2 linked regions of the Lytechinus pictus genome follow. The main gene of each other region encodes a partner of the protein of the gene in region 2 in a complex. Links are inferred from orthologs where the notes say so. Each region holds a gene or a part of one and is shown on either strand. Other genes may lie near its edges. The genes, in order: catenin beta and catenin alpha-2-like.

Region 1 (17,168 bases), on a different chromosome or scaffold from region 2:
CTGCAGCCCCCCCCCCCCCCCCCATTGGCGGAGCAAAAAAGGGTAAGAAAGAAAAGTAGTAAAGAAGGGAAAAGAGAGGAGAAAAAAGAAGAGGAAAAATAAGAGGAGGAATACGAGTGAATAAAATCAGATGAGCGGAAGACTTGGAAGAAAAAAAATCTTTCATGTCACTCTACAAAATTTTCGTTCGCACTTCGCGCTCGCATTGCCAATTAGGTGATTTGCATATCTTGCTCATTATCGAGCTTAAGATATCAAGTTTTGAAATCAATTTACAAAACATATTTCAGTTCGGAAATCGAACTTTCATTATTTTGTTTGATTTACAAATTGATTTTTTTTAAGTGCTCTGTAAAAATGTCATTTTTATGGTCTAAATAGTAAAATTTTCTGCTCGCGTTACGAGGCACTTATTATTTGTGAGGTACTTATTATTTTCGTGTATTCCATAAAGTTCTCAAAATATCCCTATTCAGGTATGATTGTCAAAACGTATCAGCTAGCGCTGCACGCTGTATTTTGATTGGTGAGTGATGTATATATCTCAATAGGCTATTAATTTTATAACCAACTACTTAAAATCCCCATTTCATGACAGTTTATCAAAAACTTCGGCTCGCATTAATTGTTAAAAATATATCAACTCATGCATCTTATACATAACTACAAAAATGCTTGAAGGGATGGTCCGGGCTGAAAATATTTATATCTAAATGAATATAGTAAAATACACATAGCAAAATGCTGAAAATTTCATCAAAATCGGATAGCAAATAACGAAGTTATTGAATTTTAAAGTTTATCAACATTTTATGAAAACAGTTATATGCATATCATGCATGAATACTCATTAGTTGGGCTGATGATGTCACATTTCCACCTTTTTTCTTTTTTATGTTATTACATGAAATCATAAATGTTTCATTTCATACATGTGTAAATGATGTGTCTCCATTATAATGAAATAAGTTGCGGCAATAAATACCTAATGCACTCAATCAGTTGTCAATCCGATGATCAGGCATAGTCCTACAAGCATCGTTGGATAAAAGTATAAAGTAAAGTAAGTAAAGTTTTAGTTGTTGGTAGAATAATTTTGAATAAACCTAATTTCATACAATAAAATACAAAAGAACAAGTCGGGATATGACATCATCTGCCCACCTAATGAATATTCATAAAGACACGCCTAGAACTGTTTCACCAGAAATCTTTAATTTGTTATCCGATTTTGATCAAATTTTCAGCATTTTGCTCTGTGAATGACTCTCTTTATTGAGATATAAATATGTCCAGCCTGGACCATCCATTTATATGTTCAGTTTTCAGGCCATAACAGATTTCGCGCTCTAATAAGGCTTATTAAATCATTGAGATAAAAAAATAAGATTTTAATCCAGTCATAATTAAATTGTCCCTTTTTTCAGAATGGAATAGGCCTATCGACAAGTTTCATCTCGCGCTTAGAAAGAGAAATAGGAAGATAGTCATCATTTTCATATGCTATGACGAAATGTCCTTAGAATGTCCCGGTCCTAATTATGTCAAACTCAAAGAAATAATAATGAAAAGTATCAGCTCTTTATTAAGTGCGATCCATATCCACCTCACAATTTTCCTACGAAGTGCTTGAAATATAGAGCTTAAATTGATTTTTTTTTTCAGATCGGAGTATAAAATAGGCCCTATTTTAAGCTTGCGCTTCGCGCTCGCTTTGTTGATTTTCATGGGAAAAAGTGTATTTAGAGTGCCGAGATTCTAGGTCTAAATCTGAAACACGCGTATGCATGCTATTGAGATACGCAGCTTTTTATATATTTAAATAATTTTCCAGTTTCAGATCAGAATATCAAAAATTTTCCGCTCGATCGCGCTTAATTCGCGCTCTCATCATAGCTATCCTGTTCATGATTACAAAGCTTACTGTCAAAAATGTTCAGCTCGCGCTCGCATTATTTGATTGTTGAATTATGTAACGTCTTCATGGCTAACTGCAAGCAGGCCTTAATACTGTTAAGGCCTGATTGCAACTTAGCATTAACTGTACAGGTCCCTTTTCGAAATTTCTGCTCGGGCTTCGCGCTCGCAGTTGCATACACATCTTGTTCAGGATCACAAACATTGCCCAAAATGTTCAAATTTTACAACAAGATATACATAAAATTAAAAAAAGTTAAGCTCGCGCCTCGTGATCGCAATATTTAGATTATGAGATAATCATATATTTATGTTATAAGAATAAAGCTAAGAAGCCGCTAAGAAAGAAACAAAAATCAACTTCGAGCGGCCGTTTGGCCGGATATGGCTGGAAAAATAAATCCGCCCCCTCCCCATTGGCGAAGGCTAGATCCGCCCCTGTAATAGATATAGTTTCCTAATAAAAAAAAGAAGAAAGTTACCAAGTTCCTATGATAGCTATGATAGGAAGAGTGCTTCCAAACAAGGAAGGTTTTCAGATCTGACAAACCCTCGATCCACGTACATGTCTATCAGAATTCGAACTTTTGGCGAAATATGAGGAAATAATTTCTGAATCAGTTTCAAGAATGAATACTTCAGATGGCTAATGACTTGAATCCGCCAAGAGCAAAAGTCATTCGTCGTTCAAGTCAATCAATCAGTCATTTGACCTACCCACCTGTACAAACTACAATGCACCCCTTTTATCATCAACAATAAAAGCATTCCAAGTGAATAAGTCAGACTACAACCGAAGCACTACCAGACATATATCCATCCGCAAATTTTGATGAAGTTTATATGATTTTATTGCAATTTAAGATACTAAAATGGCAGAATGGGAATGAAATTACCTTTTTTCTTGTCATTTTTTGAGAAAGATGCACATATCATAAATTAATTTATCTAAGGTTTGCGATTTGATATTGATATTTGAACTATATTCTTTGTGCGCAGATTTTACGTCATTGATTGACAGGTTAGCGTTATCGAGCTTTCAATTGATTATACGTGCATTCATTTTTACAGAGATACCGTACAAATTATGCTACCCGTGGTTCCGTACCGTACTGTCGTGTAAATTCAAATATTCATGTACAAGTAACAGAAAATACCACCAGATATCAGTGTGACAGTTGTGGACTCTTCAACTTTCAAGGGTTTTAAAGCCCTAGCAGAAAGGTGAGTATTTGAAGTTATTTTGTTCGTTTAAGTAACATTTTTTATAACTGTAGTGTAGATGTGGGATCACTGGTTGAGTGGAGATGTGCGGAGGAAAGCGCAGCGACAGCGGAGTGCAAAATGACATGAATGAGAAAGTGCAATTGCAATCATCTGAATGTGAACGATCTGAGCTGAATAGTGAATCAATGTGAGAGGGGGTGATCAAAATGGTGGATTGTATTAACTGATCATATCAAATGCACATTAATGTCATTATTTATTTAACTTCATCAACTGGGGGGGGGGGGACTCAAATAATTTTTTGATGGGGTGTACCGTACCTCACGAAACTCTGAAATGGGGGTCTAACTAAGCCTAATGTTAGGAATTGACTAAAAGGGTAGAATACGGGGTCTTGGGAACTTGAGATACTGCAAAGTGTGAAAAACAGTCTATGGTCATGGAACGGGATCGCGGCAGGCACTGTGCACTGCAGTGTAGGTACGTTGCACCATAGCGCTTAAAAAAAGGAAAAGTTCCGTCTCGTTCCGTTCGTTCTCCTGTCAAAATTGAAAACAAAATGGCCGATCGATACTGAGAACGAACGCGACAGAGGTGTAACTTTTCCTTTTTTTGAGGGTCCAGTTTGTGCCTTGATGTGCCGGGGCTGGGCTGCTTCTGAACTTAAAGAATAAAGGGGAATCCAGCCTTTTCCATAAAATGTTGTGTTGGGAAGGAGAAAAATAAATCAAACAAAATGGTGAACGTTTGAAAGAAATCCGACAAGCAATAAGAAAATTATAGCTGCTTTAAAACTGAGATCACTAATACTATGTAGATTTCAAATTGGCAACTGGGTAAGTAAATGATGACAAGGGGCAAGGACAACTTTCCCATAGGCCATGTACTTAATTATCAGGGATTTGTGGTTTTCTCCTAAGTACCCATTCCCCTGGGGCAGTAATAAACCCAGGTTGCATATTGTTTCATGTCCTCATAAAAGAAAAATATAATTTGAAATAAAACTTTTGGGGAAAATGACATTTTAGCCAAGTATTGGAGTACATGGAAGAGTAGTCCTTGCCTTACATCACTGTGACATCTCATATGCAGCCAATTTTACAACTTTTTAAATTTTTATAACTTTCTTGTTGTTTGTCCAATGTTCAAACTTTCACCTATCAACTTGTCTGATTTTTCTTTTTTTTATAAAAACAAGTTTTTATTTGGGTTGGATTCCCCTTGAACTTTTGTCATTTGGAGTCTAGAGAATTGAAAATTGGGTCTGAAAAAGGGGGTCATCAAAGGGGCACATCCCCGTACCACCATTATTTGTGAGTGCCCCCTCCCCCCCTCTCGGGCTTCAACCACGCCAAAACCTAGTAGGCCTACCTCACTGATATGTGTACTGTGTAACTTTAGACTCCACTATTCACTAACCCTCCGGCCTCCGCTACACCTGACCTAGCTAGGCTACCCGAACCATTGGGCGATAAATAGAAAAAGGCAACACGTCATGTAAAAAAGAGACATTAAGCATACTCTACAGTGTCTAAACTTACTATCGGACACAGACTCATTCCTTGCCCTTTCTTGTAAACGTCTCAAAATCAGTGATATGAAGCCGGTTCGCAGTACACCACACATATTAATTCACCGTCAAATCCAAAATGGCGAACTCGAATTGCGCACGGCCCGTGCAATAAATTATCAATTATTAGTTGTACCTTTAAAAATTGATTAGTTTTTACACTTGCGTAGGAACAAAAACACTTTAGATTTTTGCTCTGTAGTGGGTCTGCACATATAATGTAAAGATTGGCTTCATGTTAATTGGTTTTGGAGCTGTTGATAATGTTTTTAATTGCTCTTCGACAAGCTTGTGTCCCAGGGTTGGAAATAATTTTTATTTTTAGGGGCCATTTTCCCCCACATTGGAGATGATTGCTGAATTTTTCAAGGCTATTTCTTTCATTTCAAGGGCTACATACATATACTTAGACAAGCAACTATGCTGTAAAAAGCAGTGTGCTGTATTTTATAAAATTGATTTCTTAACTTTCTTAGATTGCTTTGAGCAGATCTTGGGGTGACTTTAGAAAAGACTATCACCCAAACATTCAATTTGGGGAAATTTATGGGCATTTTTTTTTTGCTATCCAGAGAGCGAATCCACCCATCGCCCTGGTGTATTTTCTGTGTTGTCCTGTGCACCAATTGCTTCATAGATCTTCCCTAGCTCTACATGTACATGTAGCTGAGTATGGATTTAAAGATGCCAGTTGTAACCATTTCAAAATGAGTTGGTACAGAATCCTATAAAATGACCACCCAAGTGTCTTTTTGTACTGAATAAAAAATTAGGTGCCAAAGGATTCTTAAGAAATTGTGTAATTGCTGCAAAATAAGAATGACATTTCACCAAATTGTCGGGTCTTTCCATGTGTACTCATCTGTGTTGGCGAACTTCAGTGTGATTATTTTCAGCTTCAATTTCGTGATTTCACAAAGTTCAGCTTATATAAATGTACCAGGAGGCCGTTTCATAAAGCTGTTCGTAAGTTGAGAGGGACTTTAAGAACTACTGGTGAACCTTTCTTACGCACTAAACCATCGCCAATTCATTAAATTTACCATTTACAACAAAAAAAGATCACCAGTCGTTTTTAAAGTCGCTCTTAACTCAGGAACAGCTTTATGAAACACCCACCCGATCTGGGGCCATTTCATAAAGGACTTGCAACTGTTGTAACTTTGCCATAATGGCAACTACCATGGTAACATGGCTCAGCAGCCAATCAGAATCAAAGTTTCCATGGTAGTTGCCATAATGGCAAAGTTACAACAGTTGCAAGTCTTTATGAAACGGGGCCCCAGTACATGTATCTACATGTGTAGGATGATTGATATGGTACATGTACATGTATGATATGGCCTGGTTTTACACTTACTCATGAAATGAGCGTTTTCTGCAACTTCTTTCATTTAGCTTTAAATCTGTTAAAAAGTAGAAAGAAACATCCATATTTCTTAATTTTTCCTGTTGAATGAGGTACATGGATACGTTTGGTTATAATGTCAGTCTCAGAGATGTCTAAAATTATGGCCAACTCGTAAAGGCTTTTTGAGACCTTGATATAGAATAGACGGACATGTACATGTGTCTCGTTGGAAGCACCCACATCTTGTGTCCAACTGTTAATCCATACCCTCTTCAGTTTCTTGTTTCAATTCATTCTTTAAATAAGTGTTTGGTACCGCAAAATCGTAATATAGCCTTCAAAACGGACATACTGAAGCTTTTCGACATGCACGCATCAGAGTAAAATCGCATGAAATGACTAAAACGCTAGAGCAAAACAATATGTAATAGAACCGAAATAGACAATGTACGCTGAATGGCGAGCCGTGATTGGCTGTCAAGGTAAACAATTTAGGCTTAGTACTAGCCGTAAATTTAAATTCATTCTTTGCTGTAGGGGTTAGGCTAACATTAGGTTAGGCCTTTGGTAATGAATATATGGTAAAACTTGAGAAAAAAAAATACCAGTACTTGATCTTGTATGATAACGATATTGAAGTGCCCTTGATCTTTCCTTGGAAAAACTTAAACAAGCAGTTTTTGTTCAACTTGCTGTCATTTCTTTATTTGTGCATCAATCATGTTCATACTTGGTACATGCATGTATGAACCTTGGGTAATACCACATGTGAGCCCATGAGAAAAATGGGGGTCAAAATCAAAGGTCATCTAGTGGTCAAAAGGTTAAACGTTATGATATGTCTATCCTTGTATTTTCAAGTGTTTGTTCAACTTGCTCTCATTTCTTTATTTATGCATCAATCATGTTCATACTTATATGTATAACACATGAACCTTGGGTAACACCACATGTGAGCTTATTAGAATGATGGGGATCATGAGGGTCAAAGGTCATCTAGTGGTCAAAAGGTCAAATGGTACATGTATGTGTATCCTTTAATTTTCAAGATTTTGTTCAACTTTCTTTATTTCTGCATCAATTTTGTTTACACTTGGTACAAATAATAATTGGGTAATAGGGGGGGGGGTAATACCACATGCATTCTAATGAGCATGATAAGCTCAAATGTCATCTAGGGGTCAAAAGATCATATTGCATATTTCATTGATCGCGAAATCGGGTGATACTAGTGAACCACCTTGTTATTTTGTTTCATCGTCAGATTGGGCACATTTTGAATTAAAGGATTAGGAAAGTTTGTCCTCTGTATCAATTACTATATGACACTGGATAGAATCATATTGCTCTTGTCGCATACAATAAGTCATATGTAATTGGAATGCACTTCCGGTAATCTTGTACAACAAGGCAAAGACTAGAGTGAAGATTTTCTCCTTCATGGAAATGGGTAAATGACTTGCTGTGCACCCAATAGGTGAGCAAGCAGAGTAAATGGGTTTTTATAATTGTAGTCTATTATTCAGTCATCTGTTGTTATTTGTTGCATTTTTATTTGTGAATATATAGAATACCGGGAAAATACAATAAACTACATTTAGGTCGGCCTGTAGTGTGCACAGTGGATGTGACTGTATAAAGTGTGAGACCTATAAGATGTAGGTCCACATGTAGAAACTCGAAGCCCTTAAATAATGAACAACTTTATGTCTGAATATTTATTCAATGGAAGACTATGTTTATTGTGGCTTCTCTGTGTGTGGGAGTAGCAGTGGCTTTGTGTGTTTGTATAGCATTGGTATTCATTCCAGTGGAATGCCAAATACAGAGTGTGTGTCATGGGAGATAGGAGGGTGTACAGTATGTACATGGACCTGCTGTTTATCTCAACACCCTTGCCTCCTTCACACACATGCACTATTGCACTGGCAATTGGAGAGGATGCACTTTGTTTGTTTCTGTAGGACTTCCAAGTGCATTTCGCATGAGCATAATGATGCTGAGTGCTGAGATTGATGTGGGTTACAAATGAATTTATATCCTACATAGAGTAAATCCTGTATAGTGATTGGTTCAAGTAGCATCATGTGACCGAATATATTTCAACTATGATGTTGCGTGACGTCAGACCTCGATATATTTTTGGATATACCAATATTCTGACGTCATTATTTCACAAAACTGGATATCTCGGCGCACCGGCTTGCGCGCTCTCTCTCTCCCGGGCGCGCAAGTCCAGCGCGATGCGTCAGCGCAGACACTAATCTGCGTTCCGCTGGGCGCGGTGGCTCGGAAAAAAGTAGGTAATTCAACAGGACTTTGCATGCTCAGCGCATAGATTTTGGTTATAAATTATTAAAAGTAGGATATAAAGCAAATATATCAGGCGTTTCATTCGAAAGCATAGTGGGAATATTAATCCTCGGTTGGACTGGCAAAACTACTATATTTCCCTCGGGGCTTCGCCCCTCGGGAAAAAATAGTAATTGCCAGACCAACCTCGGATAAATAATTCCACTATACTTTCTCAAAGCCCGATATATTTGTTTAATGGATTCATGATCATGCAATATACATATCAGAGTACATGCAGGATTGACTGTTTGCTCTTACTAATAGAGATGCATAAAAAAATGTAGGCCTATGATGCAGTTATGCATTGAATTTTTAAATGGCAGTGTGATTCAATTTTATGTCATTTGTTTTTATCTAGGCCTACATGTACATGTAGGGTCAGTGATTTTCCGTTTCAAAAATGGCCTTGTTCGTTTCAGAAATTCTTACATTCCGTTTCTTTCAGCATGTTTGAAAACGGAAATGCTGTTCCCCCATAGACTTTGTATACATGAAAAAGTGATAATTCCATTTACATAGAACGTCAATACGCATTGAGTAGCGATGTCACAACACTCGTGCTGGTCAAAATTTGTATCTGCCACTGTACTAACGCATTAGAATCTTATCATACCTATACAGGTGCACAAAATATTTTGACAAACACATTTAACATTACCTTTCACATTATTAGCATTATTTTGCAGTTGAATTAAATTTTATTAATATATAATTTGGGGATTTTTTTTGACATCGTTTTGAGCAGTCAATGATTTTCGCCTAAAAGCCATTTTGGATTTCAAGAGATATTGTTCTGTTACCGAACTTAGAGAGCAGCAACATACAGCCGTATTGCTGCCTTCTACATGTATATGTTGGTTATAATCAAACAATGTGCGCATTTATGTGAATGTTTTCGATACGGCCCAGGCCGTCCGGCGGGGGCTGGGGCGAGGGGTATACGTTGGAGTCGAAAACAGTCACGATGTGTGGATTGTGGTGATTGTAGCGAAGTGAGATCGTTTTCAATTTTATGGGGTTTTGTGGCCAGTTAATATTCATATTGTGTTGAGATTTTGGAGTAATTTATTTGCACTGTTCTGTGCATTTTGAGAAAAAATATGTTTTCCATGATTTTCCATTTGAAAAGCCACTTTTTGTTTGAAAAGGTCTTTTCCGTGAATTTGGTTCGTTTTCCGCGATCGCGGTAAATCTCTGTCCCTATCTATTAACATGTAGATGGAGGTCTAATTGTCTTCAACAAAAATGTGATGTACATGAGGCTTACATGTATTCACATACATACATGTTGCTTGTAGGCCTACAGTATCAAATGAAATTCATCATGAGTGGTTAGTGGCAACAAGTACATGTAGGCCTATAGCATTGGCCCTAATAAGAACAACAGATGCAAATTTCAATATTTTCCTGGTTTAGATTTGCATGAAAAAAAATGTTTAAAATATGATTAAGCCTACATGTAAATGAAATACACAAAATGAGAGGTATTTAGCCTTTAGGCTATTATATTCCTTTTTTGTTTCTTTAATGTTGAAGTGAAATTGATGCCCCCCCCCCCTACATGTATACATGTACATGTATGCGCATGAAAAACACAATGCTAAAAAGATGAGAAACATTTGTGGCTTACATTTCAAAATAAGAGACAGTGATAACGAAGTACTGTAAGCATTGTGGGTGAGAAGTTCAAGCCAAACGTCAGCATGGAATATCTAGTATGTGAGTAAGATGACCCTGGGTGGTTTCAGACCGCCTCGAAGTTCGCCAGTTCCAGGTATTCTCTGATCGGGAAATTTACCCCGATCAGAAAATACCAGGTATTTTGGCGGTGTGAAAGCAAACTACGCGTAATATCCCCGAAAGAAAATACCCGATAAATAGTAGGTACTTGGCGAAATTACGAGAACTTTCGCGGGGATTTTTCCAAGGTCGTGGGTATTTTGGCGGTCTGAAAGCAAATTACGGGAACTTTTAGCCCAGCGTGTCGTTGGGTGCGGCGCCGTGCATGGGTTGCTCCTGGGCTAGTGATTTTGAATTTCGCGCCTTGCTGCTTATCAGACCATACTGCGCATGCTCGTAACTTCAGGAACTTATCCCGAAGGGTATGTTTCAGGGCGGTGTGAATGCAGGAATAATTAATGGGTATTTTTCAGCCTAAAAAAGTTCTCGTAATTTAACGGGGATTCTTGTGATCGAGGCGGTTTGAAACCACCTCCTGTCAAATTTTCTCAGATGATCACTAGTACTTGCCCAGACAGTGACATGTACATGTAGTCTGTTTCAATCAAACTTCCATCTTTGTCTGTGTGGAATATGCTAAAATGGGTTGTACATCAGTACACCAGCACGCATTACTGTGGATTTTAATCAGTTTCTTATGAATGTCTAGTTTCTTTTTACAGCTGGGAAGGAGATTGACTCTCTTTGAAATTCTTACTTTAATTTTTATTTAAACTACATGTACATGTACTTTGTAATTCATATTTTCATTTTATATATTTATTATTATGTATTTTCCAGGGGGGATGCCATATTGTTTTATTTATTCTGAATTATTGTCAATACATGTGCTACTAGTGCTTAATTCTAGGCCAAGCATTTATTCTGAAAGTGGAATCGTGATTGAGCTGAACATGTAGGCCCACTGATCTCTTCACTCTTGTGACATTCATGTCAACTGGTGTGGTGCCATTGGAGAAAAGCTTCTGAACAGTTACACCCCAGTGCCCTGACTTTCACATTCCATTGCACCATGGCAATGTCAATCAAATCCTAGCCCAGACTGCCTGTAAGATGTCATGCTTGCCCATGTAGTCTACCGCTTGAAGCCCATTGGATTTTGCAGTGTTGCATGTACATATAGGATAAAATTAATGTGTACTTGTACAGGTAAATCTGTATCAAAACTTGTAGACCAGGAGAGCATTTCATCAACATTTTTGTCTGACAAGTTGTCAGATCTGACAACTTTCCTTGATTTTGATTGGATGAGAGGCACTGTAACTGTCGGATAAAACAGGACTTGTCGGACAAAACATTTTCATGAAACGCTCCCCTGAGTGACATGTAACGTACTACATGTATTACTAGGTGAACAATATCTGTGCATGTCCTACATATGTAAACACATGTAGAGTGTTAACATGTGTATATTTCAGGTTTCTTCTTACATGTTGCATTTCATCATATACATGTACAGTAGGCCTACATGTACATGTACTCAATGCATGAACACCTGTATATTACACAATAGCCTCTTTGCAATACATTTTTTTTTCTTTTTAACCCTTTAGCACCTGAACCGCCCGAGACCGCCCTTCCTATTACACACTGAACCGCCCGTACGTTTTCTTTGCGCTATAGTATCTCTTGTCTATGATTTACCGTGGTAATATTGCGTGTGCATATCGTATAGGTTGGCTGCTACATAGATCTGCATAGAAAAGTGTATGCTCCTATTGAGTATAATAGAGAAAAACCGATTGACATGCATCGGTGTGTAGCAAGTTCCAGACTGTTGCGCAGTCGATATCAGCAAAGATGGCTGCGTCCATGTCTCGGAAAACCACTTACTTCGCCGAAGAAGCTCGGGCCTTGCTATATGTTCATCAAAACGTTGGATATCACACAGAGTGACATCTAGATGTGTGTTGGAATTAATATTTGACATATTTGATTCAAGATCTGGCGAAAACTTTAGTATTCTGTCAGTGATACTTTACATTTTTTTGAAGGCGTGGGACTGGGGCGGCTGAAACCCGAACTTTTGTTTTTTTTTTCTTCTCGCTCTGCAAACGATTGCCAAAGGTCAATATTCGTATATCTGATTGAACTTTGCCATGTACCATTCTATTCAACAGGTCCTATGCTAAAAAATAAATATAACTTGTAATGAACAAAAGTAAATTTATAAAAAAATATTTCAATTTGTTTGGAACAATGCCTACTTATTACCAGTTTTATTGTTTCCTCCAGTGAGTAATTGCCATTATGCATAGGAATCTGTAGGTGCTAGAGGGTTAAAGCCATTGCTTCAATTAGTGATGTACATTGTAGGCCTAAGATGTAGGCCCTCCATAGTCATATAAACAACTGAAATGGCAATGTATTACCCAATACAGTTGTATCATGTGTAGTGTTACATGTACATGGAATTTGTCGATCTTCACTGACAATTTTGCTCTGAGCCAAACAGATACAAGGATTGCAGTAGCTTACAATAATATACAGTGAAAATCACTATTTGTTTTCATGAAATCTCCCCAGACTGCCAATCATTGCTCAAATTGTCATCACAGTAATTATGATGAACAATTGAACAGATCAAATTACACAATACGTGTGGGGCATGCAGTACATGTATGCCTAAGTACCATCCTTGATAGTTATATGTGGTGAAGATTCATCAGGTTATATTTAAGAGCGTGATTGATGAGACTATTTGTATCTCTGTCACATAATTAGCATGGACAGGGGAGTAGTCTGTCATGAGCCTGTAATGTGCCAGATGACAGGTCTAATTAATGACGCCAGCATTTCATTAATGCATGTCTGTCTGTATTGATTGGTTCGCAGACCAAATATACAGCTACATAACATGTTTAAGAGTTCATGTACATTGTGTACAGAGGCAAATATGACTTCATTAACAACATGGAAATCATATGACCTGTACATACACACCCTGCCAAAAAAAGTTTGAAGGGGGTATAGGCTAATTAGTGTTCTATCGGTTCATTGCAAATATTTCCGTTTGAATTCCTAATTTAGTTTTTAACCAATTCTCATGAAATTTGGAACACACTTACATGTAGGTCTTGGGGTAAAGATGTGCGAAACTCCCCTTTTCACTTGTTTCCGAAATTGTGTTCCAATGTGTTGGCATGGTAACATTATATTATGGCAAAACTTGGGTAAAATCTTGTGGTTCGGAGAAGAACAAGAAAGTTATGAACATTTTACATGTATGTTGAGATCACTAATTTAATAATGATTTAGACATATTCCCATTGGCAATGCGACCAAAAATATGAAATGTCCTACTTGGACAACTCCCAAATTACTTTTCTACATATTTTACTTATATTGTCACATTTATCAAGTCTATCCAGAGACCAGGGCCCCGTCTTACAAAGACTTACGATTGATCCAATCAATCGTAACTCTTTGGAACTCTTTTGAACAAACATGCATTTTATATGTTGACTTTGCTGGCTTTCCATAGTTGCGATTGGTCGGATCAATCACAAATCTTTGTAAGACGGGCCCCCCAGAGGTGTTTTTTTTTCAGTGGAGGACTTGAAATAGAGGGTAATTTTCATGAAATCTGTCACGGACCAATATTTTGAGGTATATTTCAGTGTACAAAGGGGAGAGATGTACTTCAGTGACATCACAAATCTTGGTCACATCGACAATGGGAGCATCCCCATACATAGCATCTGTGATTTAAACATTCAAATGCTCAAAACTTTGTCTATTTTCATGCAAGTTTGATTTATTTTGGGGCTGTCATTCTCCTTTACATGTAAGCCATAAGTTGTCCTCTGGTTGTTTACTTGTAAGCCATAATTTGTCCTCTGGTTGTTTACTTACAAGCATAGTAATTGCAATCATTTTTTTAAAAATCTCCACGAGTCACTATCTACCATCCCCCAATGAAATATTTACTACTGAACATAATGTCGTAGTAGAATACACTTTTGATTTGTTTAGCATATTCATCCACCTCTGTGAATTTACACATTGTTTTCCTATGCAAATGTCAAAAGTTCATGCCACTGTCTGTCAATCGTTAGAATATCTCATCCATGAAAAGAAATAAAAATAAAAACCCTGAGTCCATTATTCACTGGCATACTGGAAAAATGGGAAGTACAAACTTGTCCAGTATTTTCATTCAAGCCTGATTCATCTCAGAATATAAAGTTTGCTTACCGGTATATACAAAAAAAAATCAAATTAAAATGGTTATTAGATGCTTTCAGAAATTGGTAAATGTAGATCTTCTTTGAAAATTTTGCCATTTTCTGTAATAGTTTACATTTACAATGTTATGTGCATAGGCCTAGGCTACACCTACATGTAGCTTCATTTGACAAATACATTTCTTGTGCCTATGATAATCTCTTTGTTAAATGTTTTTATCATCCATAAATGATGCAATGTGAATGACTCATGTACATGTACACAGCATACTTGTAGGTTTACATGTTGGCCTCCTCCTTACTACGTACCTGTAGTGTACTCCAATAATTTGTGTCTTGCCTGCACAGCAGATGTGAGACAAAAATGTAATACTTGCGATCAAAGCAGTAAAAAGTCAGAACTTTATTATATGAATATCTGAATTTTGATTGCCGATATTTGCTCTAAGTGAACTACAAGTATGGTAACCCTTTGAGTGGTACAATGACCATACATGTATGTCAGCTCTTGCCTCATTAACTCTGATTTGTATTTAACAGAATAGGGACATTGTGTGGTTGAATGAGTGCATACATTAGCACATCTCCAAATGACATGTACATGTAGGAAGATCATTTTGCTGAGGTTTGACTGTACTCATGTACATTTACATGTACTCTGTACATACATTACATACCTTATGCATGCGCAGCAATACGGACTATGGGTGGAGAATAGATAAGCCATGGTAGTGTGTACTTTATGTCTTGAGATATGCAGTGTGAGTCATCTGAACAATAGGAGGGCTACATTGAAAGGCTCACAATATAGGCATTCAGTGGTTTGTACCTTTCATAGAAGATCTGAGCCTATTTTGTTGTTCTCATGGGGAGTATTGAGAAGCCCTTTATAGCTTGTGTACACACTGGACATTTACAAACACTGATGATAGTGCACACATGACTGTTTTCTTTTCTTTGCACATGATATTGTGTAAGCTGTAGGGCGTACTTTATACAGGCTTTGTGCACGTTGTATGTATCCATCAATTAAAATTCACCTCTGATACTGACTCAAGCATTCCTTTTCTTCAATGCTGTACTGTAACCATGTTAGTAACTTTATTCATTTTAATTGTATGTTGTACCTGTACTTGTACATTGTACCAAAAGCATCTTACATGTTTAAAAAAAAACTCTGAAAGACTGCTGCTAAGGGATGCCACTTTTCTGACTATACTAGTCTGATTTCAGACTTTTCAGTGCATTTTCAGCCATAGAAAACACATTTGGGTGATTTCCAGTATTACCAATGTTTAGTGGCATCTCTGATAATTAGTGGTTTGTTTTTGCTCCCATTTTTTTCAAAAAGAAACTTATTTCATTCATAATGTACATGTACAGATCATATAGGCCTACTGTACGTGCTGATTTTCCGTCTGCATACATGTATATACTTTGATCATTTCCTTATTATCTTTGTGTTTTTTATTACTTTCAGAGTTTCGTTGACGGAGATTGAAGGAGAAAGTTATACACCATGGAGCAGGCAAGGGTAAGAGAGAATCACTTATTTGCAAGGAGGGTGGTTTCACAAGAAGATATTCTGAAAAAAAGCCCATGTGCACTTGATATAATTGAGTGTGTGGTACAGGAATGAATATGTGGAAGGGCACATCCCTTGATTGTGATGTGACCTATGAACCAATGCAGTGATGCTTTTTATCTCACCCTTCCTGGTTTTAGCCATTGATGGGTTCATTCAGTAGCATAATGAGCAAAAGTATGGGGCAGTAATTTCTTAAAAAGCTACTAGCGTATAGAATTGTTGACCTTTTGATACAGCCTTGGATACAAAAATAAAATGTTGTTATAGATTTTGACATACTCTTTGCAAACTAGTATCATATTTCACCCTTTTTCCCCCCTTTTCTTTCGTTTTGTTCTCTTGTTTTTCTTGGTTGTGAAAATTTTGTGGGTCCATGGCCTTCCAACGCCCTCCCCCCATATGTTCGCCAGTCGGTTTATTGATAGGTGGATCAGACATCTTCAAAAGACTTTGGAATTCAAATTAAACCAATTTCAGAATTAAATTTCCTTAGGTTCCAGTCCTTAAATCAACTATACCTGTAGTTACATAGTGATAAGATAAGTATGTGGGACTTCCTCTTTTTTTTCCCCAGGAATTTATCTGCATATATTTGTAATTTTATGGGTTTTTTTCTTTGTTGTTTTTGTTATTGCAGTACTCTAACCAACAACAGCCTGTGAACCCACAACAGAAAGGGTATGGCGGTCCAGGGCTTCAAGACCTGCCAAAGCAAGACCCCATGCAGAATACCATGGAATGGCAGCATCATGGCTATGGTATGGATTCAGGATTTCAGAGCAGCGCCACCTCACATGTAAGTCAAACTCTGACCCCGTTCTCATTACACTTTCTAAAACTAGTTTACTGGAATTCGGTTCAGGACACCAGTTTGGAAGATCGCTTTGCTAGCATTCCCACTTGATCACCCGAAAGTGGTTTTGAAAATCACTTCACGTAAAGCGACCTTGTTGCTATGGGAAAGCTCTCAGTGGGCTGACTCGTTTCGCGCGAAATTTGGAACCGCAGCGTAGGCATTCTACACGTAGTGTGTGGAGTAGCGCGCTAAAAATGTGCGAATGTTGCTTCCGGAAGAACGGTTGTGTCCTCACTTATGCTAAAACCATTTTAATGACGCAAAGCGATCTGGAAAAACTACATCGCGAGGAGGTTTTATGAACTGGTTCGGAAGATCGCTTCGACCGTTCTCATTACATGTTAAACTAGTTTCCACTTAAGTAGTTTCCAGTTAAC
Region 2 (16,899 bases):
TCTCTGGTATCTGTGAGATGACATAAAAATGAAGCCCAGAAAAAATGGACCTGAAAATCGTTATTTAGTGCTTGATAAAAGAGTGAAATATATAGTGACCCAAAATAAACACCTTCTTAATTTCATCCCATACACTAACATGAGTTATATTAGTCTCCTGAGGAGATTGAGTAAATGATGATTTTTCAGATATCTTGAAAGTGTCTGAACAAATTTGATGTTTTTTCTTTCTTCCGGGGTGTTTTTTTTCATTGATATGATCATTACTAAATACAACATGAATCAAAGTTCTGTGTTTTTTAAAAATAATACCTTTGCAATATTAGCCATTGCATTTAAGAGAAAAACATGTTGCACGGTATTAAAAACATATTCAGTATTAAAAACATAATTTTGTGAGTTATTTTAAATAGTATCTTAAACTTAAAAGATATTCTCCTCTTTCTTTCTTTCTTTCTTTCTTTCTTTCTTTCTTTCTTTCTTTCCTTCCTTCCTTTCCTTCCTTTCCTTTCTTTCTTCCTTCATTCCAATAGTTATCTCTTCGGCTCTTCGGTTCAATAACAGCTACTTTTAGTATTGAACAACACTGACCTTTAAGGACCTTAAACAATGAAAAGTTGACGGTATTACAAGCATGTCCCATTTTGATGATGTCATATTTTTACAGCAACTTTCTATTGCGAATCAATATAATGCCCTTTGAATTACTAAGTTACGGAAAACCTCACCGGTGCTTCTGACTTCTTCAACAGCAGTCAACATCTCCCTTTCAATCTCTGGTATTTCATGAGCTATCTCTTCTCCTTGCTCAATGAACTTCTCTGTTGCTTTGATCACAGCAGCCACCAAAACATGAGCTTTCTTAGATCGACCTTTCTTCATACTCGACGGTTTGGTGTTGACGAGTGTAGTCACCTAGTTGAATGACAAAACAAAGACATTAGACCTAAAAAATAAATAAATGTTGCCCTCATCAAACCGACAGTAAACTGCATAAAATCAGGCCCGCTATCTTTATTAATTTTTTTAGCAGACCCTAAATATACAAGTGAAAAAAATTTTGTGAGACAAATTTTGTCAAATTTCAGCGAAGAATTTGCTCAAATTTGTATTCAATGATTTCAGAGGGGAGGAGTACTACATTGCTAGATCTAGCTGATACAATCCTTTGTCTAGGCCATATCACATTTACATTGACATTCACAAACAAAAATAATAAAATTTTACTCGCAATCAAAAAAAATGATTTTAAAATCATATTCCCTCTCTTTTGTGGATGCAAGTCTTTCAAAGGTGAAAACTCACACATAATTTAGTCTTACTACCACTGGCGTAAATCCGTGTTGATGGGTGGGGGGGATGACTGAAATATTTTGGCTTTTTTTTGCAGTCATGTTTTTAGATATGCAAGGAATTGTCATTGATATGTCCACAGTGGCGTACCGTGGGTCACGGTATTGGGGAGGGGGCACCAGCAAAATGTTTGAATCACTGAGTGAGCGCGCTCAGTTGCCAGTTATACTGACCTAATAGAGACATTTTCTGGACAATGTCATTAAACGGATATATGCATCTCACTGATCAAATAATGCGAGCGCGAAGCGCGAGCTGAATTTTTTTATATTCACACCTAAAAAGAGACATTATAATCAAATTTGTGTAATCATGATAGGTACCTGTCTCGCTAAACAATACGAGCGCGAAGCGCGAGCTGAAGTTTTCGTATATTTTGACCCCAAACAGCAAGATTTTGAGGAATATATTTTAGGAATCCATTAAGAGTATGCATATCTCACCATAGTCATCTAATGCGAGTGCCAAGCGCTTGCTGGTTTATAAGAATTACATCTGAACACATGAAACACTTTTTGTAGTCATTGCAATCATGATTATCATACGCATCTCACTAATCAAATATGGCGAGCGCGAAGCGCGAGCTGAAAATTTAGATAATTCAGACCTGAAGTGGGGCATTCTAAGGTTTCTTAGTAGGTATTTCAGGAAGAATTTTCACCAATAAAACAATTATCTCTTGTGATGTTTTTTTTTTCATTTCTTTCGTAAAAAGTGGGGGGGGGGGATGTTTGTACAGGCCATCCCCCCCTCCTCGAAAAGTGGGGGGGATATATCCCCCCCATCCCCCCCGGGATTTACGCCAGTGCTTACTACTTTACCTGTGTAACTAATGGTTCCAACGTCTTCTCCACTGAATATGTTCTAATCTCCAGGTTCTTTGGGTCCCATTTTAGGGTTAGGGTACCCCTTGGAGGTGACATGCTGCCTGACATGTCTGGTAGTTCTGTCTATAAAAACAAACAAGATTCATACAATAATTGGATGAATTTACGTTATTTTTTCCCCAGGGAATCCCAGGTTCCCCTTCATACTAAAATAATACAAATGAAAAGCATGTAGTCTCATGCATGCAAGCTCTCTCAACAGCAATCTTCATCATTTTCAATCTACTTTTTGCATTGGACGGACTGGATGCCAATTCTTTCTCTTTTTTCATGGGAAAAACTTGGAATCATTCATTGATGGGTCAGATTTAGACAACGATAGAGTAAAGAATCGATGTTAGTGCAAACTTTGGTTTATTTGTAGTCGGCTTGAGCCATCCATTTTTTGTGTGTGTTTTTTTAACCTGTGCCCGCCCAGAATTTTTTCTCCAGAAATCGATGGACCGCCAAAATAAAGAAATACATCAGAAATGCAGTGCCACCAAAAACTATGATAAGGGCATTTTTGCAATCTATTCTATAATGCAGAGAATCTTTCGTCAAAAGCCTTTGTCAAAAATTGGCGAATAAAATCAGTGGTGTCGTCCTGGACTCTGGATAAAAAACATATTTTCAATTTTTCATCCGGTCCGAATCTTCGGAGGATCTGATGTCCCTGTCTACCCACTTTCGACACAACCTCTCAGCTATCCATTGTGATTTGACTTGCATTTTTAAAGGAATTGGTGCATTGTAGAAGTAATTGTGAAAATGCCCTTACATGTACATCAACCTTTTTTCAGGCCTTTATTTCATTTTCTAGATGATTTAGACTTACACATGATACTATATTTCTACACAATAAATCAACTACTGTATTAAGTAGAGCTATGAAAATATTAGTACCTGAGCAGGCTTTCTAAACTTTTTTTGCTTTCTCTTCGGCCTGAAGAATAACCTGACATTCAATAAAATCCAAATTTATTGATCGTTTTTTAAACTTGAATTGTTGAAATTTCCTTGTGTGGCAGTGAAAAGCCAGCCAGCACAGTGCAGCACAAAATGCATTCTGAAGCCATGGATATTATAGACTTGCATTATGAATTTCATGGATTACCAGGTATCACTAGCTTAATGCAATGTTTACACATTAGATGAGTATACTACGTGCGCACGCGGTCGCGCACATGCGTGCGACATACAGCTGAATGAGACCTGTCCCATTACGTCTATTAAACATGATCTATTTTGCCACTTTTCCAGAAGTTATAGGCCTATAGAAATTCTTTAAAGTACATTTCATTATATTTTAGGTGTTGAGGATTATTTTGATGTATTATTTTTTGGACAAATTAAGAGCTTTCCAAATTTTTGTTGTCCTATCTACTTGCGAAGTGCGAAGCATCCAATAGTTGTGTACTTTACTCTAGAGTAAGCAAAAAGATGGGCATTTTGGGCTTGGTGTTTATTGAAAGTCTAACAGAAGATGCAAACACGTGACTGATGCTGTCCCATTCACCTGGCACTGCACTGCCTTGCCAAAATGGTTCTAGAAATTATTCGCTACATGTATGTTGAAAGATGGATTTTGTCATCTGCTATTAAAGGACAAGTCCACCCCAACAAAAATTTTGAATAAAAAGAGAAAAATCCAACGAGCACAACACTGAAAATTTCATCAAAAATCGGATGGAAAATAAGAAAGTTATGACATTTTAAAGTTTCGCTTAATTTCACAAAACAGTTATATGCACATCCTGGCTGGTATGCAAATGAGGAGACTATGACGTCATCCACTCACTATTTCTCTTGTATTTTATTATGTGAAATATGAAATATTCTAATTTTCTCCTCATTGTCAAGTGATACAACAATTAATTCCTCCCTGAACATGTGGAATTAGCATTGTTTAATACTATAAGTAGGGACAGTGATTTTCCGTTTCTAAAAATTGCCTTTTCCGTTTCAGAAAATCTCAAATTCCGTTTCAGCATGTCTGAAAACGGAAATTCTGTTTCCCCATAGACTTTGTGTACTGGTACATGAAAAAGTGACAATTCCGTTTACATAGAAAACCAATACGCAATGATGTCAAAATGCTAGCACTGTCAAAATTTGCATCTGCCAATGTACTAACATCACTTTAAAATCCATTTTAATCAAAGAGATTCGAGCTCAAAAACTATTTATAGAAACATAATCAACATTAATAAATCCTCACCTTTCATATTATTAGCATTATTCTATGGTTAAATGAGATTTTATCACTGATTTGGGGACTTTTCGGACATGGTTTTGATCAGTCGACGACTTCCACTTATCCGCCATTTTGGATTTCTTGAATCACCGTGATCATGATATTATGACTGAACGCAGAGGGCAGCAACACACGGCCGTATTCTGCCTTATATGCGGACGTGAGTGTAAACTAATTTAGATACGATCGAGGGGCTCAAGTGTAAATACGATGTGTTGATTGTCATGATTGTTGTAGCAAAGTGAGATCGTGTTTTCAGTTGATATTTGTATTTTGTTGAGGATTTGGGAGTACTTTCTGTTGCTATTTTGTGCATTTTGAGAAAAAACATGTTTTCTGTGATTTTCCGTTTGAAAAGCCACTTTCCGTTTCAAAAGGCCGATTCCGTGAATTCCGTCCGTTTTCCGCGATCGCGGAAAATCACTGTCCCTATATAAGGTTCAGTCAAGTTGGACCTTATTGTCAAATCTATAAAAAATGAAATATTGTATAATTCAAACAATAAAAAACAAAAGAAATAGTGAGTGATGGACATCATCGACCGAGTCACCTAATTATGCATATCACTGTTATGTGAAAAATAAGCGAAACTTTAAAATGTCATAACTTTCTTATTTTACATCTGATTTTGATGAAATTTTCAGCACTATGCTAGTTTGATTTTTCTCTATTTATTGAAGTCAGCATTTTCCTGTGATGGACTTGACCTTTAAAGGGGAAGTTCACCCTGAAGAAAAGTTTGCTGTATAGCAGAAAAAATAATCAAAAATATTGGTGAAGGTTTGAGGAAATCTGTTAAAGATTAAGAAAATTATTTGAATTTTAAGTTTTGGATTTGTGACTTCACAAACGAGCACGTAGCAGCTGCGAAGCTGCCCCATATGTTACATAATATAAAATGCATGAATTTCATTTTTTTTAGTTCCTGACAAATTATTTTTGTTTTCTATCCATGATTGGGTGTGAAATTATTTGTCTTTTGACATATAGTACAAAAGGAACAATAAAAACCGTTTTTTGAGAAAATGAAATTTCATTGATTTTTTACTATTCGCTATATTGTGGGGATGCTGCTCACATATCACGTCACAAATCATATAATGAAAATTCTAATAACTTTTCAATTCTATGATGGATGTTCTCAAACCTTTGGCAATATTTTTTATTATTTTTCTGCTATTTTTACAATCAACTTTTTGTCAGGGTGAACTTCCCCTTTCATCTGCGCAATTTCCTGAAATGTTGCTACTTTATTTAACTAGCATGAACTAGATCTAGGCCGAAATCCTGTCAAATATAAAGGAGTTTAGCGCAGTCAGTCAAAGTTTGACTTGCACACTCTGACAGTCAACAGTGACACAGTCCGTATATTATTAGCAAGGCCTCAGTGACCGTGCATGAAGTTGATCCAGTAGAGTAAAACCCCCAAACGTCGGACAGTTCCAAATATCGGACGAAAATGACTTCAACTCCCTCCCCACAACTACAGGTACCCGCACTGGCGGGGGACTTGCATGCATGAGATACATGAACATACCTGCTATTGAACTGCATACAGTCAATCCAGGTTGCTGCTAAAAAAATATTCCAGGGGTAAAATCTATGTTTTTGACTTGGAAATGTGTGCTGTTGAGGCGCGCGCGCTCATTTTCAGAACGAAGTCGCATGCTGCTGAGCGAAGACGTCCGATATTTAGAGCCGAAAGAGGTCCGTTTGGTAAGTAAATAATTATTATTTACCAATGTCTATATCAAAATTATTGATAGTAATAATTAAAACCGCATTTGCGCAGCTGATATAAGTTATTTTCTCAACAATCAAGCAATTACTTTGGGGTTCAGAGCGCGAGCGCAATTTAAATCGCCGAAATTGATCGCGGCGCACAACCTTATGTGCCCGATATGTGACAAAAAACAAGCTTCTGGTAGTGAGTAAATAATTTCTGTTTACGATATTTTTTTCAATTCTATTTTTTATGACTTAATATTCAACATTTGTAGAGTAGGCCTAAAAAGGAAATACACATGCTTTTTATTGATTTGATGATTGTATTTTTGTTTTGGTCCAATTATGCTTAAGTGTCAGATATTTGGGCACTTTACTCTACAGCAATTGCATTAATTTTGCAAGCCAAGAGCACACATTCATGAACAAGGTTATGTCCAAGACTATTTAACGTTAGACTCAGTCATGTCAGTTCCGCCAAAAATGAGTAGCATCACCATCGGTCACCGCAGACTGGAATAAGTACGAAGTTTTGCATTGTTAAAAACGCGATGGCATAGGCAAATTCTGTTTTCCCTTTTCATGACTGAAACAGAAAAATAAATTATCCATATGTATTTCAAACAAATCGTGTTTCTTTCTTTTAATCAAAGGGTCGTTGCATGATTTCGGTTTTAAAAATAAGGCAAAACTTTTGACAAATTTACAGCACATATTTATACGAATGGGACTGCATACTGCGCCCTGCATCACAAAATGCTTAATTTCACCGCGTATGACAACAAGTATACATACATCTTCAGTTTATCAACACACTGTACTTCATCTTTGAACACAAAACGTGTCAGAAAAATAAATGTTAGACATAATTACCTATTTTCCAATAAATATTCAGTCTTCCAAGTAGAACCGTTAATCGAGAACTGAAGAAGTGGGCCTGTGTAAACGTAACGTACCGGTACGGTACGTTCGTCTATATAAAATAAACGTAATTGATTGTATTGTGGCTGTTCCATTTGATTGTCATATTATCAAACAAATCATATTTCTTTCTTTTAACTAAGGACTCATCGCCTGCCATAAAGAGATAATATGACTTAAGAAACTTTAATATTATATTAGTTAAATAAGGTCTCATTGAAATAATAAAAGTTTTGAAAATTAAAAAAATTAAATCCATTAGTGAAATCACTTTCTTAATTTTCAGAGGGATGTATGATAGTAGAAAGCACACCGAGATATCGCATACCAAAGAAGTTACTCAGCACGAAGTCGCATCATTCATGTCAATAGAATGTGAGGTGTGGAAGAGTGAATTGATTTTGAGAAAAAAAAATGCTTATTGTTCTTTAAAATCAAAACAATAATCGCACTCATGATAACGTCTACGCAGTGAATGAAGGCATATGCGCACATAACGTTGGAAGCGCATATAATTTCGCCGGGCGGGAGAGAAACGCGGGGAGAAACGTAGGCCTATATAGGAAAAAAGATAGGCCCCCATATAGGCCTAATTAAGAAAGAATATAATAATAATATGTCCATTTATATAGCGCAGTTACTATGTGCATATACACAACTGCGCTTTGATACTTGGTATCATATAGACCGATACAATAACTGACCTATTTATTATCAAAATTGTTTTGGTGACTTTTCTATCACTCATTAGAGTCAGTGGCGTAATGAGCCAACAATTTTACGGGGTTAACATGCCAAAAAGGGGAAATATTTCTGAAAAGCTGCGTGGGAGCGGGCAGCTAGCGATCGAAGTGCATGAGCAAGAAAATTTTGACCTTTATTACGAAAATCTTTGAGATAGATTCTGATTTAAAGGATTATATTTCAGCCTCTAAATTTATACCCCTTTTCTTTTCTTTTCTTTTCTTGGTCGTAAAACGTTTTTGAGGGTGAATGGCCCAACCCACTGGGCATTTTACCCGATATTACCTGGGTTGTAACATAAAATACCTGGCCAAACTCTTCAGTATCAAACAATTTCTCACTGATATCAATATGTTTAGTCATCAAGTGGTGCAAAAAAATGGATTTAATGGCTAGCAGGGCTACATCAGGTAAAGTTAGTAAGTAGGTCTGTGTAGCCTAGGAATGTATGTAGATTGGTCAATGTATAGAGTCAAGGCCTCTTTATGTTCTCATTTATCATTGTTTTGTGTTAGTGTACATCACCTACTTAGCATTAGAAAGACCTTTAGAACTTGCTCATGTTGAAATTGTTCTTAGGATGGGGGTAGGAAGAGAGGAGATAGAACTTTGAGAACTTTACTGAAGAGAACTAGAGTGGTACCTTCAAGAAGGTATATAGAAAAGGGCACAGAGTAAGGTAAGGTATCTAATAGTGCTCAACTAAGGAGGGAGGGGGGTGGCTGTGTGCTGCAATCTTAGTATAGCCCCCCCCCCCTTTATTAAGCCATGCCATCTATAAAATTATCTTTCCCTCTCTCTCTCTCTCTCTCTCTCTCTATCTATTTATGTATCTCTTCCTTCTTACATCTGAGAGGCAACAGCCCTAGCAAGATTTTGAATAGGTCAAATGCAAATATACTTAAGTAGTATCTCATTCTTTTATTGTTTCCTCATCCAATCTCATGTATATTTGGTAATTATGTTTGGGGCAATTCTGTTATCCTGATATCTACACATAATTTACATACACCTTTATATTACAATTAATAGGGACCTATTTTGTCATTGCATTCACTGTTGGGCTATATGCAGGTAGGATTTGTATACATCCATATACAGTGAAAATAACATGTATGGGTAACACATTAAAATAGGTGATTGCATAGAAAATAGGCATTTTCAATGCATTTCTTTGTACTAGTGTGAGTGTACAGATATAAAAGAATAGCAAAGTAGCTATTCAAATAAATAAAATACATAGGTCATATAATATAGGTCCCACGAGCCTAATTACATCAGGAGGGCTAAAGATATTCGTTCGACCCAACCCATTCGAATTTTTGTCAATTTGATATTGCTGATTGACAAAAATGTATGAATGTACTCAAAATCTAACACTGATTCTAGAAATGGTAACTACTGAACTTACTTCGCCCAAATTGGGAAGATAAATAAGTGACTTGGAACTATTTTTTGACTGGCGGAATAATTAGGGCTATTTTACTGTTTCAGTTGATGAATTCGATCGATTCATAGTTATCTTCATAAATGGCGATTTATTTTTAAAATGAGCTGGCTACGGTACCCTTTCCTGGTCAGATTTGGAATGTCAGATATATATCCTATCCATTGGTAGCAAACATTCCACCCTCTAATTTCACATTTATTTTTTATGAATTTTTCAAAAGTGCCATTTTAACACACAAGTCTATGGGGAATGTTTTACGCGCGTGACACCTTTAAGTAATATGGGAAATCTCTAGTAGTGGATATGGAATACCTGGCCAAACTCTTCAGTATCAAACAATTTCTCACTGATATCAATATGTTTAGTCATCAAGTGGTGCAAAAAATGGATTTAATGGCTAGCAGGGCTACATCAGGTAAAGTTAGTAAGTAGGTCTGTGTAGCCTAGGAATGTATGTAGATTGGTCAATGTATAGAGTCAAGGCCTCTTTATGTTCTCATTTATCATTGTTTTGTGTTAGTGTACATCACCTACTTAGCATTAGAAAGACCTTTAGAACTTGCTCATGTTGAAATTGTTCTTAGGAAGGGGGTAGGAAGAGAGGAGATAGAACTTTGAGAACTTTACTGAAGAGAACTAGAGTGGTACCTTCAAGAAGGTATATAGAAAAGGGCACAGAGTAAGGTAAGGTATCTAATAGTGCTCAACTAAGGAGGGAGGGGGGTGGCTGTGTGCTGCAATCTTAGTATAGCCCCCCCCCCCTTTATTAAGCCATGCCATCTATAAAATTATCTTTCCCTCTCTCTCTCTCTCTCTCTCTCTCTATCTATTTATGTATCTCTTCCTTCTTACATCTGAGAGGCAACAGCCCTAGCAAGATTTTGAATAGGTCAAATGCAAATATACTTAAGTAGTATCTCATTCTTTTATTGTTTCCTCATCCAATCTCATGTATATTTGGTAATTATGTTTGGGGCAATTCTGTTATCCTGATATCTACACATAATTTACATACACCTTTATATTACAATTAATAGGGACCTATTTTGTCATTGCATTCACTGTTGGGCTATATGCAGGTAGGATTTGTATACATCCATATACAGTGAAAATAACATGTATGGGTAACACATTAAAATGGGTGATTGCATAGAAAATAGGCATTTTCAATGCATTTCTTTGTACTAGTGTGAGTGTACAGATATAAAAGAATAGCAAAGTAGCTATTCAAATAAATAAAATACATAGGTCATATAATATAGGTCCCACGAGCCTAATTACATCAGGAGGGCTAAAGATATTCGTTCGACCCAACCCATTCGAATTTTTGTCAATTTGATATTGCTGATTGACAAAAATGTATGAATGTACTCAAAATCTAACACTGATTCTAGAAATGGTAACTACTGAACTTACTTCGCCCAAATTGGGAAGATAAATAAGTGACTTGGAACTATTTTTTGACTGGCGGAATAATTAGGGCTATTTTACTGTTTCAGTTGATGAATTCGATCGATTCATAGTTATCTTCATAAATGGCGATTTATTTTTAAAATGAGCTGGCTACGGTACCCTTTCCTGGTCAGATTTGGAATGTCAGATATATATCCTATCCATTGGTAGTAAACATTCCACCCTCTAATTTCACATTTATTTTTTATGAATTTTTCAAAAGTGCCATTTTAACACACAAGTCTATGGGGAATGTTTTATGCGCGTGACACCTTTAAGTAATATGGGAAATCTCTAGTAGTGGATGCAGGTAATAACGTAGTTATTACCACGGTAACACCAGTGGGTAGTAACGGGGAAATAGTAGACCAATCTTTCCCCGTTATTACCCGGACCCGATATTACTCCATTTACCCAATATTACCCAGTATGATGTAACCGATATTTCCAGCATTTTAATGATATCACCACCTCATATTACTCTGTTTACCCAATATTACCCAATTAATGTCGGCTCATTAAAAAAACAATTAGTGTCATTAGGGTCATTGAAGCACATTTTTACAACTCCATACTCTAAGCCATATCATCTTATCCTATCCTAAAATCCTACATCCTAATCCTAATCCTATCCTACACCTATCCACCAAACCCTGTCATTTACTTCTATATATTGAGCGAGTTTACAACACTTGACAAATTATGGTTAACAATTATTCAACCCTAAAACATTTTTCTAAAATTAATGTCATGATTATGACTAATATGATATATAAACTACACATTTTTCTGAAAATTTTCTGGGTGGAATAATTGCATAAACATAAACACATTAATTATTACAGCTATATTAGCTAAAATTTTGGCCATTTATTGTAGTAATGAATATTCATGAGTAACTAATATTCCCAGCATTTTCCTGATATTACCATCTGATATTACTCCATTTACCCAATATTAATGGGTTCCGCATGGGTTGGAGGTCTCGTTTCCATCTGAGTCCTATCTGGGCACCATGTGGATTCAAGTATATGTTTTCATCTGGGTTCCATGTGGGCCCATATGGGACCCAGATATCCCAGATAAGAACCGTATGTGATCCAGATACTTTGCTGTCTGGGAATGGAAGCGTTTCAACATTACCCATTACCCCTTATCAACCTGTTTGTAACTGGGTAAAATGTTGGTTTCATCAGGGTGATAACAGTAATTTTTTGGACTTTGAAAATTTCGCTGGGATTGCTGTAAGATTGCTCTTATTACTAAAGTTTGCAATGTTATAACCAATCAAAGTCATTCAACATTACCATTATTACCCCTCATCACCCTGTTGTAACTAGGTAAATGTAGGTTTCATCAGGGTGATAACAGTAACAGGTATCAACAGGAATTATAATTTCGGTAATAACATGGTAATAACGGTAATATTTGGTGTTACTCAAATTTCCGGGTGATATTACCGGTAATAACCGGTAAAATTGGTAATCGGTAACAAATTGCCCAGTGGGAAGCGGGGGATTTTGTTAAAAATATATTCGGCCTACTGACTTTTCATTCTCATCTCACTTTAATCAGTGAGCATATGAGTTTTCATAGAACAAGACTCGACTGTTTAATCCCTATTTGCTTTTTTTTATTTCTTGTTCACATTCTATTCTAAAGTTTACGTTATTGATAATACCCTTATCATCATAATGAAGCAACTTTTAAAGGCTCGCTAACTACGCTCACCACCGCAATGAATTACACTCCTTAATTGAAAAACGATTCGGTTATCATTCTGTCTTCCAACTATGGAAAATTTTCTCGCTCGCTTCGCTCGTTCTTATTTGGATACTAACTGTAGTTCAGTAGTTTATAACACAACAAATGCATTTTTATAGCAAATAAAAGGAAATCGTTAGAGGCCTTTAACTGAAAGATTAAAGGAATATGTACATTGTTAGCCCTATATAGGTGTGGGGGTGTCCCCTCATTTTTTTTATTTTGAGGTCAAAATATTGCTTTCACCCCCCCCCCCACCTCCCCCACTGCTCTTACCGAATTTACGCCAGTGCAATGAGAAGAATGAAATTTCATAACAAAAAAGTCAGTACAAGGTAAAATAGGCTGAGGAAGATGATTAAAAGAATAAAAGGGAGTCACCTTCCAATTGAATCAGTTAGGCCTACTGAATGCCATATCGGCCTAATGGAAATAATAGGCCTACATCACGTCCCGCCCCTCCCCTGCCAAAACATGCAAACTATCATGATCATTAGCATGCATTATTATCATTAATATCACTACGTATTGTTATTGTTGTTGTTGATCATTATTCTTATTGTTGTTATTTTAGGCCCAGTGATGTTATTAAGCTTCTTATTATATCCACAATCCATCCATAATTGTTATCCCTACACTGTTAAAAATACTAGTAATTTTACAAAGAAAAATCGTAAATTTACAGGATGTTTACCTTTTAAAAACAGACGACACAATGATTAAAAAACAACGTATTTTATGAAAATGAAAATGAAAATCCATAATTTATTGTTCGAAATAGACATGAAATGAAATACTCCGAAAATTATGCAGGGATATGTAACGTAGGATCACAAGTTAAATGTAAAACAAAGTAAAATATATTACTCTTTGTAAAAATACCAACGAACTATCTTGTTTTTACGATGATTGCAGTGCATCTATCGTATAAATAGTATTCGTATTTGTAAATTAATGGCGATTTTCATGTTAAATGAATGTTAAAATGATGTTTTTGTGTTGTTGTTTTTTACAGTTATCTATTTTTTTTTCATTTTTACTGCCCATCGTAATTTAACAGTTCATACTGTTTGTTTCATCAATAAGATGAATTGAATTGAGTCCCAGCTGCCAGTAATAATTAATGTTCTTTTTTTTACAGTTTTATTTTTAACAGTGTATTATTTTCACCATCCTGACCGAGTTATATCATGCCGTCTAATTGTTATGTCTATTATAGACCTATCCATAAGATTATAGAGAAAATTGATAAAATTCAGATTTAGGTCTATAAAAGATTGACATTTTAAAATTTTGCTTGTTTTTACGAAATACTAGCGCATAATACGGATAGTATATTATAATCATGATAATGAGATCAACAGATCAAGGCGATGACGTAACAAACTCACTCGATTTTTAATTCGCCGTTTACGAGATATCTTTTTTTATTAAAGAAAGCTGTTGATTTACGTTTCCGCAATAGCATTTTCACATGTTCACGGCGGAATATCACCATTTTCTACATTTATTGAGTAAAAATTCAAAATGCATACAATAAAATACATAATTATATCCACACTCTCGAATGATATGAATACCGAGAAAAGCGAAGCTTAGTGAGCGAGTGACGTCCTCCGTTCCCTCATTTTTCTGTGGTGCCCAGAAATTCTTTATAATTGAAACTTTGTGCCGATCCTCGCAATGGCAGGGCTAGTTGCTTAAATTTAGTAAACATTATTATATCAACATAACATCCATGTTATTTCTTCAAATAATATTCTATGTTCTCGTAAACAAACCTTTGCTCAAAATGAACTTTTCTCCTTTTTTCGGTATCATTTGCGCTTATTTTGTTTGAACTGGCTTTCCTGTGCCTATGTTTTTCAATAAGTAATAACTATTTATCATTCATAATACCGAGTTATTATTGTTCGTCTTCGGTATTACTTTCAAGACTGTACCATTATTTTCATTATTTTTTCATAGACTTTCCAAACCGATATAATTTGTCATTTTGTAACCGACTTTGGGGTACTTTTAGAATTCCACTCATTCTCTTCAATGTAATTGATTTTCAAAATGTCATATCCTTCTTTCATCGTTTTTAGGCTTCTTTGTTATTTATCTGATGAAGGCCTATATTGCCGATTTTTAAATATTTTCCCCCGAAATGACTTGCTTGTCTAAAAAATAATCAGGTTTATATTCTAAGTTCACAACTTCCAGCAAATATTTGGGTAATACCTTGCGCCTTTAGTGACCGTAAAATACATGTATATAGTGGGAAAAATCATTCGGAGGAACAAAGTTGCATCAGTCTTGCAGTTAACCCATTACCTTTACCAGAACCAGGTGCTCCCTTTACAAAGCCTATGAAAATGAATGAATTCAGTAGTCATCGGGTTAATGGGTGTAAATAGTCACACCAGCGAAGCTGACTCCAGACCAATCAAAGCTATATGCATTATTATCAATGACAGACTATCGGTCGGTTAGGAGATGGTTTCTTTTGGTGTTCCTCCAGCATCACTGAGTATGATGTGAAAAAAAAACTGAAGGAAATCATACATACACAAACAATCATAGGCGGATCCAGCTTTTGGCGAAAGGGGGGGGGGGCGCACTGCCGAGCGGCGCACATATTTTTGCACTTCACCGGCGCCATAAAAGAAAATGTTGAAAAAGGGGTAAAATCTGACCCTGTCAAATGCTCTTTTCAAAATGTAGAATTTCCAGTCATGCCATTTTGCATGACCACACGCAGATAATATTTCCGGGGGGGGGGGGCAAGATTCGAAAATTTGGTGCACATCTCACATTTGCAAATTTTTCATAGTTTTCATGAAATGTTAAGGAAATTTTTTTTTTTCACAACAGCAGATCGCGAATGTGCCCCCCCCCTTCCCCCTTGCTGCGTACGACCATTCCCTGAAGTCCACTTAAACATATCTCATTATAACAGAAATATACATCAATTTAAACATATAATCTTTCTAAAACATATATAGAGAGAGATTGAAAAACTTATTAAAGAAAGAAACAAGCAAAAAGTAACACAAATTATGCATGTTATGTGCGACTTCAAAATCTCGTGTATTAACCCTTTTATTGCGATGAGGCCAATACTTTTGTATATTAATAGAGATACAAGTTTTTTTTTACTATATGTATATATATATATACACAGGGGCGTCGATCCTTTTTTTAAGATTCGGGGGGGGGGGGCAACATCATGAATCAACTTTCCAAAGGCGCTCGATATCACACAAAACAAACAAACTCACACAAACACACACACACATATGCATATATATATATATATATATTTATATGACTCATGAGATAGAAACACATATCTCACCAACAAATTAATGCGAGCGCGAAGCGCGAGCTGAAATTTTTTAGTATACTGACCTGAAAACAGGAAAAGGTGCCTGTTTAGGACTGTTTGTAGTAACTCATGAGGAGGATACATATCTCACTACACAGACAATGCGAGTTCCGAGGGCGAGCTGAAATTTCTTTATATTCTGACCAGAAAGCTTGATATTCTATGCGTTTTTGGTACCAATGATTAAGATGGGTATCTAAAAAAAACAATAGATGCGAGCGCGAAGCGCGAGCTTAAAATTTTGATATTTCGATCTGAAAAAAAAATGACAGTTTAATGGACGTTTGTAATAAAGAACAAGATTATATCCAGCAAAAGATTATTGCAAATCGAAGCGGGAGTTCTTTTGACGTTTAGTCCTGAAAAAGGGACATTCTATTCACCTATTTAATCATGAAAAGTATGGGGTTTGCTTAAGAAATGATGCGAGCGCGAAGCGCGAGCTGAAAATTTTTATATTCCAATCTGAGGAGCGGATAATTTAAGCACGATTTTAAATAAAGAACGAGTTGTGTAGCTCAATCTCAGTATACGACTGGTTGCGTAATTATACACTCCCGGTACTAGCAACGGGTTTTAGCAAAGTTTTCGGCTAAAATATTGAATCATCTTCATAAAACATTATAGTAGCTGTCTTAAACTAAAGGCCATAGAGGTGGCACAATGTAGAATGTGTAAAGAAGAAAAGTGACTGACCTTCTTTTTATTAAAGCTTTGGAAAAAAAGATCAAAATTAAAGGATTTGCTCTATATACGCTTTTGTATGATTCTGGGATTTAAAAAAAAATTAAAGATTTCATGACGTCTGTCATTCTGTGGGCAACTGCCCCGCCCCAGTCCACTCTGTAAGGGCATGCGATAAGCTTTGTTATGACCATTCAACAATAAAATGTATAACCAGGTGCCGCTGATCATTCTTGACCGGCGCCGATCTAGATTTGGTTGGCAATAGGCCCTTCTTCATTATTCTACCGGCGCCTATTTATTGGAACTA

The links.
Region 1: the proteins of catenin alpha-2-like (region 2) and catenin beta are in contact, whole or in part, in a crystal structure (PDB 5XA5), measured with the Caenorhabditis elegans proteins. The link is inferred for Lytechinus pictus from reciprocal best matches to the Caenorhabditis elegans genes hmp-1 and hmp-2. Residues at the interface, in NP_505985.1 of Caenorhabditis elegans: Asn20, Val21, Gln24, Gln27, Leu28, Glu31, Val32, Ile35, Glu37, Thr38, Phe39, Pro40, Leu41, Lys42, Thr47, Leu50, Val51, Thr53, Leu54, Ala57, Val58, Asn60, Phe61, Thr64, Gly65, Ala68, Cys72, Leu85, Met99, Gly103; in NP_001252426.1 of Caenorhabditis elegans: Ser47, Ile48, Val49, Glu50, Met51, Met52, Gln53, Pro55, Thr56, Gln57, Gln58, Leu59, Lys60, Ser62, Val63, Met64, Asp65, Leu66, Leu67, Thr68, Tyr69, Glu70, Gly71, Ser72.

What each region holds. Positions count from the first base shown.
Region 1 is NC_087245.1:36,917,594-36,934,761, reverse strand, and holds the start of catenin beta, read left to right. Parts: upstream 1-7,885; 5' UTR 7,886-8,082; intron 8,083-11,192; exon of another isoform or gene 11,193-11,309; intron 11,310-14,980; exon of another isoform or gene 14,981-15,438; intron 15,439-15,454; exon of another isoform or gene 15,455-15,667; intron 15,668-15,827; 5' UTR 15,828-15,866; coding exon 15,867-15,881; intron 15,882-16,572; coding exon 16,573-16,731; intron 16,732-17,168. UniProt on the Caenorhabditis elegans protein: Required for cell migration during body enclosure and cell shape changes during body elongation. Plays a role in recruitment of the cadherin protein hmr-1 to adherens junctions.
Region 2 is NC_087256.1:10,652,321-10,669,219, forward strand, and holds the start of catenin alpha-2-like, read right to left. Parts: upstream 7,493-16,899; 5' UTR 7,075-7,492; intron 2,304-7,074; 5' UTR 2,289-2,303; coding exon 2,175-2,288; intron 916-2,174; coding exon 729-915; intron 1-728. UniProt on the Caenorhabditis elegans protein: Required for cell migration during body enclosure and cell shape changes during body elongation. Required for proper localization of other junctional components, such as pac-1.